Caenorhabditis elegans: one gene and its partner. The protein of the gene in region 2 purifies or fractionates together with the protein of the main gene of each other region. This does not show direct contact. Each region holds a gene or a part of one and is shown on either strand. Other genes may lie near its edges.

Evidence for each region. The genes of interacting proteins can lie anywhere in the genome.
Region 1: the proteins of T09A5.14 (region 2) and puf-3 fractionate together in Caenorhabditis elegans (co-fractionation; one large-scale study listed by BioGRID). This does not show direct contact.

What each region holds. Positions count from the first base shown.
Region 1 is NC_003282.8:13,509,807-13,514,133, forward strand, and holds puf-3 (PUM-HD domain-containing protein), read right to left. Parts: upstream 2,357-4,327; 5' UTR 2,340-2,356; coding exon 2,011-2,339; intron 1,939-2,010; coding exon 1,129-1,938; intron 1,082-1,128; coding exon 712-1,081; 3' UTR 501-711; downstream 1-500. Other genes in the region: afmd-2 (Alpha/beta hydrolase fold-3 domain-containing protein), read left to right, coding at 196-336, 389-467, 2,735-2,994, 3,491-3,589; m7GpppN-mRNA hydrolase dcap-2, read right to left, coding at 3,813-3,908.
Region 2 is NC_003280.10:7,830,418-7,833,709, forward strand, and holds T09A5.14 (Neuropeptide-Like Protein), read left to right. Parts: upstream 1-1,936; 5' UTR 1,937-1,973; coding exon 1,974-2,144; intron 2,145-2,199; coding exon 2,200-2,235; 3' UTR 2,236-2,486; downstream 2,487-3,292. Other genes in the region: cex-2 (Calexcitin-2), read right to left, coding at 2,650-2,769.

The DNA of each region.
Region 1 (4,327 bases), on a different chromosome or scaffold from region 2:
AAAAAATGGAGAAAATAAATTCATTTAGAAAATCGAGCCCGTAAATCGACACAACCTCTACAGTAGCCATGTAAAGAATTACTGTAGTTTTCGATACGAGATATTTTGCGCGTCAAATATGTTACATAATACGCATTCTCCGAATTTTGTGTTCTCGTAACATGTGGAGAGCACACAAAAACAGAAAATCTCCAGATTGGAAACCGAAAGAAATGTTTGGCTGTCGTCCACGTGGCACAAAAGCTTGGCTACACTGTAGTCAGCGTGGGATACGACTATGCCAACAAGGATCATGTATTGAGCAAGACGATCGTTGAAGCTTTGGAAGGAGTTCAGGTTGGCGGGAAATTTAAATATTTCAGAAAATGTTCTAAAATATAAATTCCAGTTTGCTCTGAAAAAGTTCAAGAATGCGAAGAAAATTGTGATTGGAGGACACTCAGTCGGAGCACACCTCGCATTTCAAGGTAATAATTAAACAAAATATTGCAATTAAATCTGGAAGTTTGTAAATTCTTTATTCACAGAATTTATATCAATTATTGTGCAAAACGGGGGCCGGGGTCTTCATATAATATAGAAGAGGTTGCAATACTCTTTCTACAATTTTCTAGCAATATAATAATAAAAATAATAATAGTATACACGTGAGTTGGGTGATGGTGGGGGTTAGGATTCAAATGGAAATGAATAAAAATTGCCTATGTGTATCTAGTACAAGGACATTGATTGGAGCGCTTCGATAATCTTCTTGCCCGACGAAAATCTTTCGAGGCGGTGGGCGTTTCGCATCACTCGTCCGTGAATCTTCTCGAGCCACATGCCGTACATCTCCGATTGCTTTTGATCTCGAGCATTCTGACCGAGAACACAAGTCTGGATCATCTGCTGAACAACGTAGTTTCCATATTGATGGAAGAGCAGAATGTCGAGAGCATCACGATTTGTATCCGGATGTGGAATATATCCTTCGAAGATCTCGTTCATCATCTCGGCAACGAGGCGATATGGAGCACATTCAAACGCCACTTCGACCACGTGGCTAGCGTACTTCTCCTGTGACATTGAGAGCAAATTTTGCCTGGAAATGGAAAAATACATTTGAAAATTTGACTATATAAAACATACAGAAGGCACTGCTCAATGATGATATCTCTGTAGACAGCCAACGCATCTCCACACTTGATAACGTGTTGTACCACGTAGTTCGCAAACTCGTTGGAAGCCAGCTGGGTGCAGTTACGAGTGACTCCAGCCATCAAACTGCGAAGAAGAATGACACGATGCTGGTAGCACTGAGCATATTGATCAGTCGACAAAGTTTCGACGGTCGATTGAATGACACGGCACCCATATTTGTCCTGGCAAACGTGGATGAGATTGTCGTCGTCGGCGAAGAAATCCACGAGGAAAGTCCACGAAGAGACTGGAAGCGTCTTGACAATCTTCTGAATCACGTGGTTTCCGTTTTGATCGATGCTGAGACGGACGAGGTGCGTGTCACGGAGCTCCAACGACAAACGAGTCGCAAGATGAACATCAAGCTTCTGAATAGCCAGTTGAATGACGCGGCACGCACTCTTGTCAAGGCAGAGATTGTACAAATCAGTAGCCAAGTGCTCCGTAAGAATCTCCTGCTCCTCAGTGTTCGAGCACTCCAAGACACGTTGCACAAAGAAGTTGCCAAACATGTTAGAGCAGAGCGACAAGAAGATGGCACGATCCTCGACCAGTTTACGGAAGAGTTTTTGGTGGACGTCGTTGTCGTTCTCCGTTGGATAATGCTCCTGAAGGAATCGGCATCCATTCTTATCGGTGGCAAATTCCACGAGAGCATCGTTGGCGAGCACATCCTGAAGAGTGACCGAGTCCGAGACATTTCCCTCGCCGTCGCCAGCCCAGATTGGAAGTGTGCATTTGTGGCTGCGGGTGGTCGAGCTGAAAATTTGATTATTTTTTTGAAAGTTTTAAAAATTGAGGCTCCAAGTCACTGGAAAACTCTAAACTCACTTCAAAGACTTCGAGAACGAGGCGTTGTTCTCCAAATCGATAAGTCTAACGGCCTGTTGAGGATAACGAGCCGGAGTCGTCATCGGTGTAGAAGTGCGCCATTTGGAGAATTGTCCTCCAAATCCTTGACGATTCGGAGCCCAAGCGCTCTGTGGTGTCGGTGAGGAGCTCCGAAATCCCATCGAAGAGTCCACTTTCCGATTCGGCGTCCAAATGTTGGTGGAGCTGTTGGCGTTGAAGCAACCACCGAATGTGCCACGAGCCTCCGTCGCCGTTGGCGGGCTCTCGTAGTAGCGACCGAGGTTAGAGGAACCGGTGTTTTGACTCATATTGGTACGGAGACTACCTGAAAATTTATTTTTTTGGAAGACATCGACGTTTGAATGGACGGAATAAGTGGAAAATACGATAGAATTAATGAAAATAAGAGAGCAAAATTTTGGGACGCGTCCTCGAAGACAAAAAATGAACAAAAATGAAGAAATCAGGAACCAAAATGCAAAAAATCCCGCGTTAAAATAAAAAATCCAAAATTTCCCGCGCAAAAACGAAATAAAGTACTGTAGAATTTAAAGGCGCATGTCGACGCTGCGCCGATGGGTCTCGCCACGATTGATAAATTTTGCATACCAGGAATAAAATTTATGAAAAGTTCTTGTATTCTCACTCTGTGCAAAAAAATAGCGCTTTTTTTTTGTTAAATCAAAGAAAAAAATATTTCCAGCTGTAACACGGATCCATGACCCCCGAATCAGTGGTGCCTACCTCAGCGCGGGCATCTACAAAATTCAAGAACTGACTTCCACGACTTATGGTCACGATCTTGGGTTGACTTCAGAAGAAGCAGAAACTTGTAGTTGTGATTATGAGCTTATGAAGCATGTCCGGTTCCCGGTGTTAATCGCATGTTGCAGACGGGAATCCCCAAAGTTGTACCAACAAAATCAGGATTTTTCTAGTCAAGTTGCAAATGCTCAGTACAAGGTTTGAGCTATTTTGGACCGAAAAAAAAACCCCGTTTTAGGGTCTTGGCACGATTTTTAAAATATTTTTTTAACGAGTTTCACGCCAAAACCACGTTACCTGGTCTCGACACGATAGATTTTTGCTAAATGAGAACAGATATATGCGCCTTTAAAGATTACTGTAGATTTAAAAATATATTTATTTTATTTGGAAAACTCATATATTACGATAAAAACACATTCTTAAGAAAATAGATTATTTAAAATTCCGCAAAAACCAAATTTCAAAAGTACAGTACTCTTTAAAGGCGCACACCTTTTCATATTCGTCGTGTCGAGACCATGTATGGTATTTTTGACGCAAACCCCATAAAATCTCACGTCTGGATGATAAAACACGAGGAAACAACAAAAATCTATGAAATTTCGAGAAAATTACAGTAGTCTTTTTTTAAAGGCGCACGTATTTTCGCAATCAGCAAAAATTTGTCGCGTCGAGACCATTTTTGTTTCAGGAATACGAAAATGAAGATCATTTCACAATCCTGACAGAGCTCACAAAAGAGGAGAGCATCGTGTACGCCGACTTCTTCAACTTTCTTTATTCAATTTAATTGTACATTTTTTTTTCCAAAAAATAAAAATCAGATTTCTTGTTGGGTGTGGGAAACCTACAAATCTACATGAAAACCTTAAAATATAGCAAATTGTTTAACAAGGTTTCATGACTAAAATGAAGTAAATAGATAGGAAACATGTGGGTTTAGGAGCAAAAAAAAAAAGATACAGACAAGAGTGAATATATATTGAAATTACAAGTATTTTATTATATTTTATTTATGGTAATTGTGGTCCAGTGCCAGAAACGGGAGATTTTGTAGAGAATTGTTGCATCCAAAATGACAATGGTCCAACCACATAATCAATGTCAAGCTGGAATTTTTTTAGTTGTAAAATCTATAATATTTTTGTAAAAAAAAGTACTGTCTAATTTAAAAAAAAAACGAGCGTCGTTTTGCAAACCCGCGGCGCGCTTTTTCAAATAATTTTACAATTTTTTGGCGAAATTCTTGATTTTTGATTATTTTTCGAATTTTTTTTTGTGATTAGCATTTGAAATCGTCAATATAAACCTATTTTAAAAATAATTTTTTTTTATTTGTGGCTCATTTATTTTCCCTACATTTTTCAAGAAAATAACTTTGTTTTTAGCGAATTTCGTGATTTTCTTTGAATTTTTCTGTAAAAAGTAATTTGAAACAATTTTCCAAATTACAAATAAAATTTTGTACATTTTTTTTTGAAAACTGATTTAAAACAATTTTAACACAAAAAATGAAAAGAAAACGACA
Region 2 (3,292 bases):
GAATCCGAGAAAAACAAGGACATCAAAAAATGAAAACAAGATGAGAATGAGTTTTCGGTTATTGCTCCTTTGAGCACTGAAAATCATATATGCATAAAAGTACATCATATTTTCAACTTTTCATAACAGAAACTTTGTAGCTATCTTATGTCTGGCTGCTATTTAAAAAAAAAATCAAAATTATAAGGGTATTTTATGCAAACATTCAGTAAGCCTTTTGGATATTTTAACTTTTCGAGAAAAAACTGAATTTGTCTCACCCAACGTGATCAAAGCGGCTCCGATTTTTTCAAGGAAAAAAAATGGTTTGAAAAATGTCCGAGATCAATTGTTCTAGTTCAAAGTTCTCTTCTGTGTATTTTTAGTAAACATATTTCATTTCACTTAATTTTTATTTTGTATTTGTATTTGTATTTGATTGAAACAAACTTTAAAAAAACCTATTCTGTCTGAAAATAATTTTCCCCCTAACTATATAATTTTTTTAAAAAAGATTATTGTAGAAATGAATATAATCTCTACCAAATAAAGCAGTTAGATCATTTTTTAAGACTCCATTGTGCTAGAATGACTAAAAGGAAAAGCTTTCCATAAGACATAAAGTTTTTTGTGCTATTCAAAAATTATATATATATTTATCAACAAAAAGACGACTCTCCCACAATCAGTAGTCTTTAGAAATCATGCAACCAATTTAACTCATCCTTCATATATTTTCTCTGATAAGGAGAATAATAATACAAATCCAAGAAGAATTTATTTAAAAATTCACACCCTATCAATATCTTGTTTACCATTTTGAAGTGAGGTATGTGAACGAGAAAATCTGCAATAAATTAAGTACTTTATCGGTCAAAACTGGATACGGATTGGTGTTTGATTTGAAATTCTCGGACAAACTGGCTTTGAGATTCTTTATTAAATCCTTGAAGATCCCACTATACTAGTTGCTTATTAAAAACTTCAAACACCCACAACTAGATTTGATGAGTGCGATGATGCCTCGACAAGCAATCCAATTTAAAAGTACCGTATCAAATTATGTGAAATCTTCAAAAATTCATCGTGAAAAAACAGTTAAACATCTTTTAAACAAATTCCAAGAACTGTGAACCACAGGAAATCTGATTTCCGTGTTTGTCTTGAATTTTGCGAAAAAGGCGAAAGATTACGAGTAAAGATGGAAATAGATGTGTCTACTAGGAAATGAAAATGTTTTTTCAAATCAAATAAATATTTTCTAAGGGAATAAAAACGATTTTTGAGATAAATTGGCATTTCACGAAGAGCCTAAAAATTAAAGAGAACGATTGTTTATGTAATCATTGTGAAAAAACGTTCTAAAAGTCCAGCTTATGACAAACAATTTAAATTTTTAATTGTCTCCCTGTTTTAATTTCACCTGGAAGAATCAGCGTAAACTCCACAGACTGGTAAACCAATTAAAGACGTTCCGAAGTGGGTGCTAGCAGCTGATGGATCTTGCAATTTTCATATTGGAGTAAATTGAAAAATTATCCAAAAGCTCTAAAAATTGAAAAAAAAATCAAAAGTTTTGCCGTTCTTAATTTAATAAAATTATCTTTTCGGACCATCAAGTTCCTAGATGATATCATAATATCTTTTGAACCTCTCATTCCCACGCAAAGAAACTGCGTTGAACATTGTTTCGATTATTCATGATATATGTCAAAAGCATCTGTCATATTAAAATCCGCTTATGTCTCTCTGTCATCATTTGAACATGTCTGCTAAAATGTTTTTTATTTGCATTATCCGATTACCACCCTACTATCATTCATCCGATTTCCAGCAAAATCCTCCTCCCCCCAAATAGGCGGAGCTCGAGAAGAAAGTACTGAAATGGGCGGAGCAAGTCGTCGTCTGCTTTAATCTGGCACATGCGACATATAAAGGACTTGCTCTGTGGGTGACACCAACTCAGTTTCATACACCCTTTGCTTTCTTCTATAATGCGGATTTTCATCTATTTTCTTGTTCTTTGCAATGCAATCTGCACTCTAATGGCTTATGATATTCGAGATTTTGAAGTAATCCGACAGAACGCTGTTCGAAATATTGCAAGTCTAGAGAATATTCTTGAACAAAGACTTCCTTCTCACAGACATCATAAAAGTCCAAAGGTTTGTTTATTTTATTAATTATCTGAAACATGTTCTTACTTTCTCATACTTTCAGAGTCGACGAATTGGTGGAAACATTGTAATGGGTTAGAATCACCATATTTGATCTACTTTAATTGTTGCACTTCTTCACATCATTTCATCATTTTCCTGTTACAGTCTAAACGGGTCTCACAACGACTTCCCCTTCTCATCGGGTTCCATTTCTACTATATTGTAGTATAAACAGACCACTGTGTATTTTTTTTTGATTTTTTGATTTTTTTTTCTGTAAACTTAGTTAAGTTTCGATTAGTTTTATTTATTGAAAGAATAACGACAATAAATCGTTTAAAAGCTCATTGCATATGGAAGTATAAGTGATTTAAATGTATGTTGCGGGGATTGGGGAAAGAATTTGGAGAAAGGGGAAAGGAGAAATCGAATGAAACTATAAAGATTTCAAATAAAAAACACACCGGTACGAAATTAGTCAAGAATAATACATTATAGGTATTTATTTCAATTAAACTTTTCCTAAGAGCCAATTTCCAGGGCTAGATGGATCTTCTGAATGGAAGAATTGTTTCCAAAGAACATGGAATTTCTTTTTATCAATACTATTGATAAGTTGACCTTGATGATTCTGAAATTTAAGTTATTAAGGTTTGGAAACTTTTTGAACTGAATTATTTTCAAGTTTTAACTTTTAAAATTTCATATGGCACCCAAATAATTTATGAAATCATTAGTCTGGGCAATAGATAATATCAGGGAGGAAAGCACATCGAAAACGAGTTTAATTGAGATGCTACAGTTCTTTAGGTACAGTAGCCATGAAGAAATTCGGAGTTCGATAGAGCAAAGAGCCAATATGAGTTTTTCCCCATTTAAATCAATTACTCACTGTGAAATTATTGCTAAATATGATCCTTCTTGGTCTACCCACCCACTTTCATTAAATGATTTCAATAAAATGTTTGTATTTCACAATTGAATCGTATTTTTTGATTTGAATATTGAATTTAATGTTATTTGTCTGTGAATACCACCAGACTAAACGGAAAAGGTAAAATTGTATCTAAACTATAAAAATTGCATTATTCATGTGTAATTCCAACATAAGAAAACGTTCACAAATATTACTTTTTTTATTTTTAAGATTTCGA